Linked DNA regions of Drosophila melanogaster. The protein of the gene in region 1 interacts with the protein of each later gene in a pairwise test. Each region holds a gene or a part of one and is shown on either strand. Other genes may lie near its edges. The genes, in order: CG32267 and CG15136.

Evidence for each region.
Region 2: the proteins of CG32267 (region 1) and CG15136 interact in a two-hybrid assay, tested with the Drosophila melanogaster proteins (one large-scale study listed by BioGRID).

The regions. Positions count from the first base shown.
Region 1 is NT_037436.4:3,468,826-3,477,352, reverse strand, and holds CG32267 (uncharacterized protein), read left to right. Parts: upstream 1-5,239; 5' UTR 5,240-5,311; coding exon 5,312-5,426; intron 5,427-5,496; coding exon 5,497-5,531; 3' UTR 5,532-5,798; downstream 5,799-8,527. Other genes in the region: CG42324 (uncharacterized protein), read right to left, coding at 4,646-4,666; CG14971 (uncharacterized protein), read left to right, coding at 6,351-6,965, 7,718-7,970, 8,031-8,527.
Region 2 is NT_033779.5:17,043,347-17,052,572, forward strand, and holds CG15136 (uncharacterized protein), read right to left. Parts: upstream 4,936-9,226; 5' UTR 4,783-4,935; intron 4,723-4,782; exon of another isoform or gene 4,720-4,722; 5' UTR 4,636-4,719; coding exon 4,425-4,635; intron 4,264-4,424; coding exon 3,902-4,263; 3' UTR 3,815-3,901; downstream 1-3,814.

The DNA.
Region 1 (8,527 bases):
TCATTCAAACATTTCTCATCAACTTAAGCTGCTCTGGCTTGGAAAATTTCAATATAATTGATTTTTCGATCAGACAAAGCCATTCCCAAATAAATTTCCCCATTTCTATCGAAAACAAGAGAAATGCTAATCAAGCCGGTCAAAACAAACCGAAAGGCGAGAGAAATTTATGTAGGAGACATATGAAGTCATACACACTTGGAACTTTTCCAGTTTTGCGCACAGACGAGCACAAAGAGCAGATAAAGAAAATTCCGCACACACTACACACACTCGAAGTTTTCCGAGTTTTCCGGCCGCCCAAAGGAAATGAGCAAGACATTGAGTCACCTCAGATTGTGGGAGTGTGGAAAAGCAATCAAAATACGGCAGAGACAAAGGCGAAGATAAATAGAGGCAGGCAGACAAGGAAAATATTGCCTTTTCAGTGGCGAGGTGGCAACAGGAGGAGACAGAAACCGCCGTGGAAATGGGGTAGAAAAACCAAAAGGCCTTCGAAAACCACTTTTTCAAATATATATAGATTTGAGATTTAAATTCCAATTAAGTAACAAAACGAAATGTCTCATCTGAATCAGCAAAAGTCACTGTATAGCTTAATATTTAAATTCTTTTATATGGTGTCCAAAAGTATGCTACAATAAAATATTATTTCGACTAGGTGACTTTCCATGCCAACGCATTTCCATTTTTACGAGCCCCCTCATGTATGCGGCAATAAATTAAATCAAAACATTCAGGACTTGACCTTGAGTGCCCGGGACAGATGAACACATCAAGGATGCACAAAGGGCAAGCAATTTTACGGCATGCAGTCCATTGGCGGTCAGTTTGGGGGCCATGAACCCCGCATATATCCTTTCGTTTCGTGTGACCGTGTGTGTGTGTGTGTTTGTCAGGACCCCGGGTGCAATTTGCCTTCGCAACATACAGTGTGCACTCACTCACTCACTTACATGTTTGTGGGCGGGCAAATAAGCATAACGAGCTCCATTATCCTTGGGGAAAACTGGTTTGGGATGCAGCCTTCTTGCTCTTGCATTACGCATACGCCATGTGACTCACAGCGGAAAGCGCGGAGGGCGACTGGGGAAAACTCTTTTGTTGCTGCACCGCCAAATTGAAATAATATGCAGGGGACAGCATATATATATATGAAAAGGAAATGGAAAAGCAAGTTCCAAGCATCAGGAGATGAAAAAAGCATGAGTCAGCAGATGTTATATATACACTTATCGCAGGATATGCGAGACCAAAGGATTAAGGGCGCTGTGGTCGCTCGAAAAAGGGGGGATTTGTTTAATCGCAGAAATGTTGCTTTTAACAAGTGCTCCAAATAGTAAAGTTCATATTAAAATAAATAAAAGTAATTTATCATTTATGACCATATGGTTACCTATAAATTGTCATTTGTTTTCCCTTAGAATTCAAGGGTACCAAAACAAGTTATTTAATACTTTTCCTGTGCATTTAAAAAACAGAAAATAATAACATAATGCCTATGACAAGGACGCAGGACATCATCCAGCCGGAGGATTGAGATCCTGTGGACTAGAGGCCATTGTACACACGTAGGTCACAAGCGACAGTTCCTGCTCCTCTTTTGACTTTTGTTTTTGATAGCGAGCTTGAAACGAGTTTCCCCCTTTTGCAGAACTCCCATCCAGCCACCCTCCTGGGTTTTCCCCATTTTCCGTTTTGCCGGCTGGGGCGGCATCATTAACATTATGTAAGCAACAACAACAACAACAACCGGCGACAGCAACAGACGGTAGTGCTTTCACCTTTCTCCTCCTGCAAAACTACACCTGAAGTTGTAATTTATGCTCTGACAAAATTTTTTTTTTTTTTTTTTTTTTTTTTTTTTTTTTTTTTACGATGATGTTTTTATTATTTGATCAACGCACTGTTACCCATGCGGCAACTTAATTTGATCTGCTTAAATTATTTTATTTTACAATGTGTCTTGGTTACTTAAGACTAACAGATTTTTAATCCTAAAAATGATAGGGAGAATTATAATAGTTGATATAACATAGTAATTATTATTTATTTGATTATTCTAATGAATTTTAAAACTAAGACTTTCTAGGTCAAAACCAGGTTAGGGAGGTCATGAGGGTGGTGTCGCTTGAGTCTTCTTTTGACTCTAGTCCGAGGGTCAGCATTGACCACAGCTGCAGTTCCTAGCTTCCTTGCTAGGCTGTTGGGGTGTACAACTGACAAAATGGCGCACACGGAAAAAACACAGAGAATTGGGTGGTGGAAAGTGAACGGGGGGGTTAGACCTCTCACGTAACAACAAATGGGGCTAAAAAGGTGGTACAAAGGAGGCCGCATAGTTGGCCTATGTGTTGCACTTGACGGGGTAGCTACTTTTATGTATTTATTTATGTTTATACATATATGTATCTCAGGCGCTTGGCCTTTATGACCGCATAAATTAAAGCATCAACCATTGAAATATTTTATCATGAGTAACAGAAGGAGATGTAAGGATTTTTAAACGAGCTACACTGTGTCCTTAGTAGTTATAATCTGTGAAATAATAGAAGGAATCTTAAAGGTTTGAAAATTAGTTTCATAACTATGAAACTGAGTATCTTGTTAACACTTTTCCCATTCATGTTCAAACTTCGTTAAAGAGATTTCTTTTGTTTAATAAAGTCGATTTTTCGTGATTTTAATCCCAGCTTTCCTGAAAATTAATTTTACGACTGCAGCACTTGCCATCCGCATGAAGAATATCTGCGATTTTCAACTTTACATCCCACGCTGTTGGCAGCAAAAACTTTAATGGCCGGCCATAAAGGAGGAACCACACCGAATTGTTTGTACTGCCGCCACGATTGCGAGTGGAAGAAAAGCCAAAGATACATAAGCAAACACATGCATTCGCCTAGGTGAAAAGTTTTGAGCCAACTGCATAAACGAAACTTCTTATAAAGTCTATAAAACGTAATGACTCGCGCTACATGCGCGCCCAGAAAAGTATGCAACAAAAGTTCCGCTGACTTTGACTTGACAGGATGAAAATCGAGCGGAGCACAGGACTCTGGGAAATTCCAACAGGAGAATATTAAGTTTTCCACGGTCCCAGATGGGGGAATTGATTAAAGCCGCAGTGGCAGGGAATGAGACGGATTTGGTGCAGGAATTAAACGAAATTGGAAAAGTTGGAGGCGCAACGATGAAATCTTTAAATCTGATTAAGTTCAGACTAATTTACCAAAGTACCAAGGAGTTTTTACAGATCTTAGAGAGAAGCTTTCCTAAATATTTTTTATTAAGACACAAAAATGGTTGCCTGATTAAAAATTCAAACGAATTTAATTTAACAAATCTGCCGAATGCCATTGCTAATTCACCAAATTAATGTCAACAGCAATTCGGGTCAGAAGGGCCCAAATGATATTGCATTGAATAAATTAAATTAAATACTTTACTATTTCTACATTTATTGACAAATAGAAAGCAAAGCTCAATCAATTGAACAATTTTAAAAGTATATTGGCGAATGATATTAATATTGAATTTTCCTGGAAATACCACATCTAATTATTGTAATGCAAATATTGTCCAAATTAATTTAGACTTGTTTGTCTTGCTAATTGACAACGATCCCACATTTCCCTTAGGTAATATAAACTTTGAATTCTTTTTATCTGAATTTAATATGCCTGCTTTTCAGTGCTGATTACTTGGATTTTTTCCCATAGATCTTCGCTCTTGTTCGGGCTTTTCGAAGCTCCACTGTAGCGACCTCCTCACTGTGCATTCGTGACGTCAAGTCGAGTCGATTGGGGAGTGTGACTGCACTTGAAAATCGACCAAGGCGCTCGGCAATCGTTGGTGGCTGAAGGATGGTTGAAGGATGAAGGGTTTTCTGCAACAAAATGTCAAATCACCGACACCAGGCCACCGATACTAGGACACTTTCACCCACACCGACAAGAGCAAACAGCAAATTTGCAAGCTACATCGCGCCAATGTGTTTGTATTGGCTGTATCTGTGTTTGTACTGTGTGTGTGCGTGTGTGCTTGGGCGGACTGGCAATTGAAATTGGTTTGCAAAATGGCAGCTATTTATATTTGGCCAGGAGTCGTCTGCACTTGTCACACTGATTTCTGCCGATTAGAAATTAATCGAATTTTACTGTCAAATCGAAAGCGGCGGGCGTTCAGGAAGTTGAAGTTACGCTGCCATGGAAATGCAAAAACAAGCAAGCACAGACACGCACGCATACCAAAGCACAGAGGCGGGAGTATCCTGAAGATTAGGGTGATTCGAAAAATAAAATTGTACTGAGATTTATTTCGAGGTACATCCCCAGAAACTTGAAAAAAAAACTTTATACAACATTATATATGGTTTTTCAAAAGGGTTAAATGTTACTATCACAACAAATCTTTATTGGTCCTTTTAAATTGAGCCACCCTAATGGACGCACACACACACCCACACTTCCGCAGACTGACAGACACTGACACTGAATGTTACGCAGTCGGCGGTCTTGTAGGCAAAATACCGTAACATTTCGCCCGATTGCTGATAATCTGCCTTTATATAAGCTGGGAAAATTAAAAGGACACCCATCAGAGGTCCTTTGCGATATTTGATTGGCATTGCTTTGACTCCTCTCACCTGTTCCACAACTGTCGACATTTTGGTCTGTGTTTTATTTAACTAACTGCACTGCTCGCTATTTTGCTTCACTTTGTCGCTGTGCTTTTCGCACTTTTCGTTTCAAAAAAGGATTCGAAAAATTTATTTTTTAAAACCGCACCGCATTTTGGTTGTGTTTGCTTTTTCTTGAGAGATTTTACAATTGTACGAGCTTTGGGGGAAAATTCTTTAGCTTCGAACGCGCAACGAATCCGACGAGTTGCTGCTGCTGAAATCAACTAAAAACCCTTTTTTGGCGAGCAGGATACTCACGGATTTTTATCCTTGCTTAAGAGTAGTGTGACCATCCATGTGGTTGGAAATATACCGAAATATACCGGTGGCAGGATTAGGAAAAAGGTGCAGCACTCCGATATTTTTGCTCACAGCTGTTAACAGAGGTTAACAGTGCTGATTGTATTTCAATGTAATTGAATTAAATTAAAATACATAACATACATAACTAAAAAACATAATTATTATAATTATTATTATTGCAATGTTTGTTTTCTACTGAATATGACATATGGAAATATTTGCCGCACTGTATGTTTCAGCAAGCCAGGAACGGTCACTCTGACAACTTTTTGGTGCGACTCGCACGTTTTTCTTTGTAAATAAATAAAAAAAATATATTAATCAAGGATGTTCCGCCTGCAGCAGTCACAACCCGATCCCGCCGAGGAGCAGAAGCGCGTGGCAGCCGAAGTCCGCTTCAATTTCATCCTATTTGGAGCCGTAATAGCCGCTGTTCGCTTGGGTACGTGAAATTCTTATGTAAAGTCACTAAAGTTACTAATATTTTCCATTTGTTTATCTTGTGTAAATAGCTCCCATAGTCCTGAAGCATTTAAATACGGCGTAGAAGAAAAAATGATCGAAGAAGACTAAAAGCTGTCTACTTATTTAAAAACGTTATCAATTACCTAGTTGTTCAAGAAATTATAGCAAAATCCTAAGCAACTGGCACGCGAAATGCATTTATTTAAAAGCACTCTGACCCATTTGATGTCTTTTAAAGTTTAAATCGATGCATTGTAAATGTTTGGTAACTGTCGAGCGAATGGAAGCGAATAAAAAACAAGAAACATGTAACTTATAAGCCAAGGCTTTTAATGTTAAAAAATACTATAAAAACATATAAGAATGTGGATCTTTTAACGGGCAATGGGTATCTAGTCTTAAAATGAAATTAAACCATAATAAAACAAATCTTATTGTGAACAATCCCTGTTCAAATAATTTTAAAGCTTCCGCAATCGATATATCGATAACGCACTCCCATTAGCCACCAGAGCTGGCACATCTAGCCCAAATCGCTGTACTGCTCCTCCCACGCCAGTCGATTCTGGCGCAAAACAAGCCGGGCGCCCATCACTGCCTGTGTATAAACAGTTGGCAAGAAACGAAGTCGAAAAACAGAAGTTTTGCTCGAAATGGCAGCGTAAAAAACCATTAAAGCCACTTTCATTACTGCACGGCCGAGTCGGAATATATACATATATAGAATAGTGACAGATAACAGGCGGAGAGGCGGAAAAGCAGCGGAACACCCGGAACATATTGATACATATGGACGTAGACTTCAAGATAACGAAAGAAGTAAGTTGCCGCGTCGCGTTTTCCATACATTTACCTTTCACTAGCTGTTTCTTTAGCTTTCAGGCATTTCCGATAATATATAATGGTGGCGGCCAAGTACGAGCGGCTGAATACCAGTGGTGAGGCGGCCGGGAACGGAAATGGGAATGCCAGCGATGCAGAAGACGAGGAGATCGAACTCCATTTGGCGCAGAAGACGCAGCTGGGTAATGGCCATCGGTTGCGCCAGAGCAACTTCAAGTACGCCAGCGGAAAGTGCGGATCCGGAGAGGCGCCGTGCACCAACGAAACGGCCACGTTGGCCCAGGAGAACATGATGATGCAAATGGCCGTGGGTACGCTGGCCATTATCTTCCTGTATCTGGCATTATCCATATCGCTGACATTCTACCAAACGGACATCAACCGGCAGATGCCCTTTCCCCTGGCCATCGTAACCTATCATTTGGTTGTGAAGTTCCTTCTGGCCGCCGCGGCGCGCAGAATCTACAGGATGCGAGTGGGCCGATCGCGGGTTCAGTTGGATTGGAGGCTCGCCCTGCGGAAAATGGCACCCACGGGAGTTGCCAGTGCCATCGACATTGGATTCTCCAACTGGGGCCTGGCCCTGGTGCCCATTTCCCTCTACACCATGACCAAGTCCTCGACCATTGTTTTTATCCTGCTGTTCGCCATCGCTTTTGGACTGGAGAAGAAGGTAAGCCAATGTGCTATATGCAAATACATACTGAAATAATTATATTTAAAATCACGTAAACAAGTTTTTATGAGCGTTATCTACTTAACTGTATAAAAAGACCTTACAGGTGCAAAAATGTTTACAACTTTTAAAGCTTCTTATCAAGTAATTTGACTTAAAGGGAATTAGATATAATATAAGAACATACTGCTTAAACATTTTAGTCATTAACAGTTTTCAAGTAATGGTATTGATATCCCTCAACGATTGCGAAACATTTTTGGAAACCAAGTAATTTCAGTATTTTATCAAATATATATAAGTTCTTTGATCATATTTTTACCTATTGAAATCAAAACAAATGCACTTAATGAGACTTGATTATTTTCCAACAGCAACACGATAAAGAAAAGATAAAAAACATTATCTCGGATATTATTTTTGTAGACCACAAATGTTGCATTATTATCAGTCAATTGTAAGCAATCCATTTACCTAGTCACTTAACTTGTAGATAACGAATTTGGCATATTTATAAACATGCGATGATGTTGATATTAACTTTAGACCAAATGCTTATCAGTTAGATAATAAAAAAGGAAATAAAAATAGCACCAAACAGGTTTTATATGTGCTAAGTATTTGAAACCTGCTAGTGTAGTTTCTTATGACTAGACCTGAATTGGTAAAACCCAAGAAGTGAATAAGAATTATCAAAAATTGCACTTTCTTTGTGTCAAAATGGTATTAATGGCATTATTTACTTTCAGAGCTGGTATCTGGTCTCGATTGTGGGCCTGATAGGCACTGGCCTTCTGATGTTCACCTACAAGTCAACGGACTTCAATGCCCTTGGTTTCTTCTTCATCCTTTTCGCCTCGCTGAGCAGCGGACTGCGATGGAGTTTCGCGCAGTTCATAATGCAGAAATCGAAGCTAGGCTTGCACAATCCCATCGATATGATATATTACATGCAGCCGTGGATGATTGCCTCGCTGGTGCCCCTCGTAATTGGAATCGAAGGTTAGTTTGTGGCTTATTACTTGAAAATATGTTGGTAATCACACCCCCAATCCTCTCCAGGTGCCGGGCTCATCGCGGTAATAGAAGATCTGCACAACCACACTTCGAATGAGATAACTTGGGCCATTGCGAGGATATCAGCGGGCGCTTTGCTGGCTTTTCTCATGGAGTTCAGCGAATTCTTGGTGCTCTGCAAGACCTCCAGTCTGACGCTCTCGATAGCCGGCATTTTCAAGGATATCTGCCAGTTGGCACTAGCCGTGACTATCAGAAAAGACCACCTGAGTGTCATCAACTACATTGGCTTGATCATTTGCCTGGCTGGTATCGTTTGCCACCTACTGCACAAGTACTCCAATATGAAGGAGATGCAGCGGCAGCAGGAGTTGCAGCTCGATAACGACCAGGAGGAGTCGTCGCCAGGGGAGTACAAATTCAACGATGGCAGTGCCATTGTGGGTGTCCATGTGAAGTCGCACTCCACGCTGACGGTGCCATTGCTGGAGCAAACCGACTCGGAGGACGAGTCTGGTGCAAGCAACAAACAGAACGCCTCC
Region 2 (9,226 bases), on another chromosome or scaffold:
CAGGTCATTCCGAACTGAACCGAGTCGAACAAACCGCTGACGACCGCAGGCATTTCATTTTAGCTCGTGAAATTTTCAAGTGAAAATTTCGTTTGCGGCTCGCACTAATGACGATAAATTGCGTCGCCATCGCACAGGGCACTATAAATAAGTTTTGCTCGGCAAGGCCCGACTTTTGACCCCGATTTAGGCCAAAAACGGGACAGGTGCACCCCATCAAGAAACGGTTTAAAAATGCTGCGCAATGCGTTCCTGCTTTCCAACTGGATGTAATTTCAATTTATCACATTTCAAGAGGAAGGGAACTTAACCATTGGTCAAAGGAGTATATCGTAGTATATAGTATATCATAGAGTGCAGGTAGATTTGGATAAACCCTTTTTGATATATTGTCGAGAGAAGCATGGTTGTGAACTAAAGGCTTTTTCAGATTGTTTCATAGTAGATAATATTTGCTATTCTAAAGTGGTGTTTGAAAAATAGCAGTATAGCTTTCGTATGCGTCAACTATTACAATATATTTTGGTCTGTCAACCTGTTGCCAAAATTCTGAAATGTCAGCTCGCCCACGATATGAAATATGTGTACATGTGTGTGTGAGGTGAAAAGTAGAAAACTGAGAACAGTTGAGTGGAAATTGCACAGTTGAGAAAAGTTGGGAACATCGATAATATATTTCATATTGGAAAACCAAGAGCAACGCACCCGATAGGAAAAACTTGGTAAATACTAAAACTCGCTGCCTGGAACCCTTTACGCACATCCACACCAACTAGACCGCAAGCACAGATATACAGATGAGGTCAAGCGATTAGGAATGCCGAAATTAATATAATTGATCCAAATGTTTATATGTCTTCAAGTAAATTTGGAGAAAAGCAGCTAGAAATGTGCAATGCTGACTAACAAATTTTTTTTTAAGTATTTTAAGTAAATGTGTGCTTTATAACAGACATGGATAGACTAGAACCCTTAGAATGTTAACCCTACTTTTGAGTTCTATTCTTTCGACTTCAGCTGTCCCTACGTGTATCCATGAAATTCAAACAAATGGCAAAGTTAAATTTGAAAATAATAGAAAAACTTTCCGCAGTCACTCTGGCAAGCGGCAACAACAATAGCAATAACAGCAGTAAAAGCAACAACGAACAAACAATAACAATAATGCAACTAAAATGAAACTATTTCGAGTGAAATAAATCTGTTAGAATGTGCAAAACTCCACTGCCAGCGCATTGCGGCTTGCATTTTTCGAAACGGACTCCAAACCGGAGATGTTTGCAGGGGGTGGCGATGGGTGGTGGGGTGGAAGTCCTCATGGGAGCCAAAGGGGGCGTGGCAGCAGCAACTGGAAGTGGAATCATTTTTATTGCCAAACGTGTTTGTTGCTCAATTTAACTAAAAGTGCTGCCAACTAAAAGAGAGAGGTGGATAAAGGAGTAGAGTGGCAAAAGTGAAAAAGGACCGAGGGAAAAGTCCCTTCGAAAACAGGCAGGAAAAGTATCCTACAAAATCTGTTGGGCTTGTGAGGCAAATAAGCCTTGAAAAACTATCGATTATCTAAGAATGTAATGCTGTGTACATATAATCCCAATTTTTATTATCTTGACAAATAGTTTATTAATATTAAAAATCTTATTTAAACCAGTTCGATCGATTTTTGGTAATAAATTATTTTTAAGGTATATTGTTTGAATTCAAATGGCCTAAGATACCTAAAAATCACACAGGATACTTAGCCAATACTAAAAACTGCAAGACAAGACAAACTTTTGTTGGTCATTGAACTGATTGCCATTTTAGCCGTTGCCATATCGTGGCATAAATATCACAAAATGAATTTATTTATAGGTGCATAAAGACAACCCGACTGTGTGCACTGCACTTATGTGTGGATATTTATTGCAGGCATTGTTTGCCCATATTCCTGTGTTGTCTATTTATTTGCCGCCTTCCGTTTTGTCATTGTGTTTATTTGGGACTTTCTTTTTCTGGCCCAATCCGTTCTGTTTTGTTTTGGTGATTTGAAATCGATGCATAAATAATGGTTTATGCCAGCGGCTTTGGTTTCTCCTGATTTTAACATTTCATGAGAGTCCCATACCGTGCGTTACGCAATGGGAATGTTATTATATATAATGTTTATCATATATAATGAAAAATAAATAAGTGAACACTACAATTTCTTGAATCGTAATATTCTTGTTGCAAAGTACTTATATTTTCGAAACGTACTGTCCTTCAGACGACGATAAGGGCGGAAAATCACAGAAATATGACAAACTTTTTCAATTGCACAATATACGGGCATAAATTTTATGCAATAAATAGCAACCTAAAACAAGCCAACAAAAAGGCTCGGAAAAAAGGACAAAGTTGCAGTCGAAAACGGGCTAAAACAAAAGATTGCCAAATCAACAATCAGGCAAAAGGGCGCGAAAGATCGTGAAAAGTTTTAGCCGCTTTCGTGACGTTTGCCAATTGCTGAATTCTCGATTCCAATGACAATCGCCCCAGGGCGAAACAACAACAACGGGGAGAGTAATAGTGGCAAAAACAAGGTGATGGCACGCCCACTTAGCCAGCTGCCAGTTCAACGCGCCCAAAAAGGGCAAAAGGAGCGAACGGGTTTCGTCGCTTACGTGACTTGTTTCATAAACAAACAGAAGGCGCAGAAAATTGGCACAAAATTGCCAAGCGAATCCTTGCCAAAGGACCAAAAATTGGGGGGCCCAGGTGTATGGTCCGGCACCTCCATTCGACTCCTTTTGCTCACATGTCCCGCTGACATTGAGCGGCGTGAAAGTTTCGCCCATGGAGAAGCTCCATTGGCAATTTGGCACTTTTGCATACGAGTTGGTAATTGTTTCCGCCAAGCATTTGTGCAGCTGCAGATGGGACTGCACTGCGTGTCCTTTTCGCCGCGCTTATCATTCAAAAGTCGTGGGCAGCTGCGTTATCCGTGGCTCGGGACATCAGACATCGGGGTACGGACAGCTCTAAATGAGACATTGCAAGGACACGAAAGTTTTCTCATTACTAGACACACACTCCAGCACCCAAACGCCTTATGAGTTTTCCTTCCTTATCCAAAAATTGAGTAAAACTAAAATAATCAAGAAACGAAAAAAATGAAAAGTTGTCGCCACTTTGCTAACAGACAATGCAAAAGTGTGCAGTCTAAGAAAATGTTCGAACTTTATTTGGACGAGTAAAAAAACGCTAGTTTAAATGAAAATTTAATTTGCATAGCCACTCGTATTTGAAAGTGAAGGTGTTTTTTAAATTCCACATGTTATTTTATTGAGTTTAAAAATTAGTTATTTAAGCCCGTACTATTTTCAGTGGTAGTTAAATCTGAAGGCAGTCCTGCTGCCATGCTACCCATAGACAGGTGAATCAAGCTTTCAGCTGCCATCCAGCGAGGAGAATTCTGCGTGCGGCAAAAGTTTTCATGCATATTCAACATCATTAGAAAGTCAGGACAAAGTAGCTGAAGGCAGAAAGGCAAGAGCCTTCGTGGAAAGTAAAACAAACCCGTTTAGGGCGCTAAAATGTAGGCTATAAATTATGTCATAGGTATAGTCGACCTTTCTCCACGGAGCTTCCTTTCTTCCAGTCTGCCGTAAGTGGGCTTGAAAGGAGTGCATTTAGAAAGTTCTGAAAAGCGTCTTAATTGCAACGACGTTGGAAAATACCTGTAGAATTTAATTCTTCGCGCTGGAAGCGTATTAAATTCAGAAAAAATGTAATTACTTACTAAAAGGGAAATCCCTTATAAGCACCTATGGTATAGGAAAAAAATACACAAATTGAGAGAGTAAGGAAGCAATTTACTGAGTTGCATGTAGGTGTGAAAACAAATGGAAAATAAATATATAAATTTGCCATTCCGTGGGACCTACATGACCAGACAGCACTTTTTGGCCGGTCTGGCGGAGTGGCGATTCTGAAAGCCATTCCTTTTTTCCTCATCTAAAGGTTCCTCCACATCACCCACAGTTTCGCGAACTTCCATTGCCTGGCTAACTGATGTGCTTCCTAGCTTGGGATCATAGGACTCGGCTCCGATATTCATGGCCTGGACTTCGTCAAACTCCAGTTCGCCAACCTCCTCCTCGCCAGGATCCAGGCTGTAAACGAAACCCGGATGGCGCAGACCCTGCTGCTGCTGGATGCTGGCCTCACGCCAGATGGACTCGTAACGGGGCTCGTAGCATATGTCCTCCGAGGTTGCCGTACTCCACCGGGTGTACGTAGATACTGCATGGGTATTAAATTTATAAATCCATCAGGAAATTAAAAAGAAATAAATAAATGCACAATACTAAAAACCTATGCAAGTCAAAGCATAATATATATAAAGGGCTTCAAAATACAATATATATTGTTTTAAATAAACATTATTTCCTTTCCGTACTTACACTCATCAAATAGCTTTTTGGCCACCTGGCTGGCCTTGAAGTCGGGCACAAACACAGGTGCGTTGGGGTTTAGGCGTCGGTCCAGCGGTCGGCTAACGACGGGGGGCGTGTCGCCCGCGGCGGGCGGAGGGCAGCTGCCAGGAGTCGAATGGGCGTCACCCACTTCCCCTGCAAGTTCGCTGGTCGATGCGGTGGCGGTGTCCTTCAACATGGTCAGCAGAGCACTTAACACTTGAATAGTTTTTCAAATCTACATTTGAGTTCCGGCCGGACGATTTCAAGTAGCTTTTCTATTCTGCTTAAATGCTCAGTTGACAATTATGGCAGGGCAAACTACCTGATTATTTGATTTTCTTACCGGTATTCAGTGCCAAATATTAATGAATGACCAAAGACAGCCGCTTCCAAAATATTTTGCCAAAACTTTGGTATTGGCCGATTTTTGCTATGAGGGTGTTTATCTCTCAACGTTTGTCTTCACGAAGTAATTTGTGTTCCTACTATTTTTAATGCTTGGCCTTTGAAATTTAATTGGATAAGTAATGAAAAGTCAACTACGATTAAAGCTACACTATTATTTACATACACAATTTATGATTGCAGAACGTACAACTCAATTAAATAGAAAACTATTTCAAAAAAAGTAAGTTAACCATGCTCCTTTGTCCCGATTCCTTGTAATTTCTTTGAAATGTCAAAGGTTATTTACCTCCATTCAATTTCTGTTAGATTGTTATTTTGAGGATTTATGGGTTTATCCATCTTATTGGGGCTTAACCCGAAAACTGCTTCAAATCCATGCATGCCATAATTCGATTTCATAAATTTGATTCCACTTTCAACTGTCATGTTTGCTCCGCTTTTCTCGTTGCAAATAAAGTTTGACTTTTAATTAAATGGCCGAACTTACAATAATTTTAATAAGCCGTATAAATAAATTATAACAAATTTCACACAAAGTGAGATAAAATTGCCTAAAACTCATCCTGACATTCCATCTTGCTGGTGCGTGTGTGTCAAATTTAATTTTGTGAATACCGCAAATTGACAAATATTTTCGTTTGGCCAACAAGAAGAAGACCAAAAGCACCCAGCACTCTAATTCAATCTGGCTGGTGTATTTTAATTGATTTGCGCTAAAATTTATTGATTTCATTTTGTCAACAGTTGTTGCCAGATGAACCGCAAAGAACGCCTGAAAACCTCAGACCCATTCACCCATTCAGCCATTTGCCCAACTTGAGCTCATTATGGCAGCTTCAGCCCCCTTGGAACCCAATATTTGCATTCATTTTGTGTGTGTGCTAATTTGCATGTGCGAGTGTGTTAAAACATAAATTAGTTGACTCTGCCGACACACCCACACAATCGAATAAAATAAAGAGAAAGGGGTTAGAGAAAGTTTCAACCGAGAACCGAGAATTTATTGCCAATTCATTGCATTCGCGCTGCTGTATCGAGCGATTTCGCTAACCGAACAAATAGCGGTTTTAACTGTTTTTAGTTAATTGCGCAAATTACTTGCGCTAATTTATTGGCCATTTTGTGGAATAGACAAGGTTTTTCAGCTTATAGGTTTAGTCCGACTAATTTGTTAGTTTCTGAAGGGATGTTTTTTTTTTTTTTGACTTCTTATTCTATACATTTTGTGTAAAAAAATACCATGTAGTTCTTCCTGTTTCAATAACACTATTAAGCCATTTGACAATTATCTTCGACAGTCATAAATCCGTTAAATTAAATAAAAGGCCAAAGTTTATTTAGCTACTCAATCAGGGACACAAACAACACTCAAATTGTTGGACAGTTTCAGATTCAAATGGCAAGCGGTGGTCGAAGGGCAAAGTAAATAGATGAAACGAAGTCTTCGCACTTTTGTAAAGTTGCTGCTCAGTGTTGGCGTATTTCCCTTGAAGGAGTAACGTATCATATCTTTTATTCAGCTTTGAATGAAGAAGTCATGTCAGAATATGCCTCAGATATAAACCGTTAATATAAAAACGAATAATATTAAATTGTATTATATTACATTATATTATTTGTGAAGGGAAAGTAGCCAAGATGACAGCTCTGGTCGCTCAGCAGTCAGTCAGTCACCCACTTGGTCAGTCACATGGGCTGCACATTCAAGTGTCACTGATTTGAGGATAAGCACTTCACAGGCAACTTGATAGCCCCCCAATCCGGACCCCCTCCATATATATATGTATATACATATATCTTTGTGTATGTATGTATGCTGTAGTGGCATTGGAGCGGTTGTGCCGTGTTCCGACGGGTTGCTTGGTTGCCTGGCCAGTCAGCCGTGGTCGGGAAATATCACAGCAGTACTCTCTCTCATTCGAGGGCCACTCGTGCAAAGCGAACTAATTTGAATGTATAAAATCAGCAGCACTGCCGGGAAGCCCCACAGGGACAGACATACATATCCGCAATAATATATATAAAGGGACAGCAGATAGACAAACTGACTGACTAACTGACTGGTCGAATGACTGGCCATGGAGAGTGATGAAAACAAAGGCCATCATTAAGCGTTCCATCTTTGAGCGGCTTTAATTGATGTGCGTTAAATCGTTGACAAACTTGATTAGGAAGGCCAAAAGGGGTTATTTTTTTATTTGTTAAATTGCATAAATAAATTTCATTAGGCTGTAAGTGTCTTGAGCTCAATTATGAAATAGAAATTCGTTTTTATACCAATTATACTGCAAATAGCTTTTCTTCTGTGTGAACAATTTCTTGGAAACTAACATTTAAACGAATTGAACGTACTATTAGAAATGAAATATTGAATATTATTTAGGTTTTTTTGTCATGCATCCAAATATAGTCTAGACTCTCATATTTGCTTTTAACCCTTTACCCACGTTTTCCCTAGATGTTCATTTGGTCCGTTAGACCCGCTTTTCCGACTTCCCATATTTTTTATCGCCCGCCTAAGCAAACACACATAGACAAGGTGTCCAAATTACTGCCGGTTGTTGGTGTAGTCTTGCCACATGTTTTTGCTGTTGCAGCAGGGTTGCTGGTGTCGTTGCTTGGTGTCAGTGTTGCCACCTTGTTGGCGAAAGCAACTGCAAAAACAAGAAAAGCTAGAAAAGTCTCTATAACCGAAGCAGAAACCACTCTTACCTAAAAAAAAACTAATTTTAAAAACGGCACTATAAACTTTGGAAAATATTAAAAAGAAGGTTTAAAACAATTATACATATATTTAAATCACTTTAAAGGCTATTAAAATGAAGATGGCTTTAAAAGATTAAAACTCCTGCTGTTAGGGTATAGGAAGAGAAAACAGCGACTCAAACAGTTGCAAATGTTGCATTTGCATGCATGGCCAGTCGGCAGCAAATTTCACCTGTCCCCTTGCACTCCTCTTCACACCCCAAACCATCGTCCTGGCCACATCCATCGGCTGGCCAGTTCGGGTGAGCGTTGTCGTTGCCATTTAGACAAGTGACATATGTGCCAGGCACAGGTGAAAGGGGCCGGAGAAAGGGGAGAAAGCGAACGAGAGAGACAGCTCATGCAACATGCAAAATAGTGTGTCAGAAAGGAAAGCCGACTCGTCTCTGTTTGCCCCCCGGACAGGCCACACGCCCCTTCTCACCTTCTCGCCACCCACCCAGATCTCCTGCATCCTGCAGAGAGGGAAAGGATGTCGCCGTCTCCATATGAGAATAGTGCCTGCAGTCCCGTATCAGAAAGCTTCCTAGTAAGTTTGCTCCCATATGAAGTTAGTCTTAATGATCTGCTATTGATCAAATTACAAAACTACTTCATAACTAGTTTGAATTTCTGTTTCAGTTTGAGTTGATTATTAAATAAAGGTATCCTTCTAAGGAGATGGCATGGATATCTACGTTACTTCGGCTTTCAGGCACTAGGATTAAAATATATATATATAAAAAACTTTAAAGATGTAAATGTGGGCTTAACAGTTTAGTATATATTTAATACATTTTTTTGCAATGCCACTGAGGAAAGTTGACGCTTTGGCAGTGTGCAAATTGCAGGAAGTAACGTACGCCAAACAAACAGGGCGACAAACAAACAAACGAGCAAAACTAAACAACAAACTCGTGTGCGAATCTTTAGTTTCGCCTCGTTTCTGTGTGAGAGTGTGGGCTTTTTTCGCAGCTGTTGGTCCTTGTTTTTGACACAGTTCAGGGGAGCAGTCAGCGTTATATTCGTGTCTTTCTTTTTGCCATTTTGCACTCTGCTCTGTTGTTGGCTTCCGCTTTTAGTTGCAATTAAACAAGCCAGTGCACCGCACAGACAGAAAGGCAGAAATGCAGAAGGACATCGCTCATCAGTGCAATGTCCAATTTGCATGCATCGCTCCCTGGTTCCTTCACTTCGCCAAAGCCATACGGGTTGTATCCCTCTGAATCTCTTGTTGTAACTCACAATCAGATGCACGAGCTGTACGGGAAAAGGGAGCTGAAGTGGCTTAAATTGAATAAAAATGATGGTGGGACCTAGTAAAATCACTTTAAAGTTTACTTTAAGATTTTTGCAGTCTAAGAAAGGAACTTGAGCTAGATAAATATGCTCTATTTCCATTGCATAATTGGTTTTCAAATATTTTTTTATTATTATAATAAATATGTTTCATTTTACAAGCTAATAATGAAATTATCTGAATTCTTTAATTTACACTCATAACTATATTTATTACACATTCATACTCACATCCTTTCATCGCTTTCAGATACTTAAGTTCCTAAATATTTCAGCAAGGTATTTTTTTGACAAATTTTAACTGAACCAATGAATGGTACTTGCACTCAGTGCTC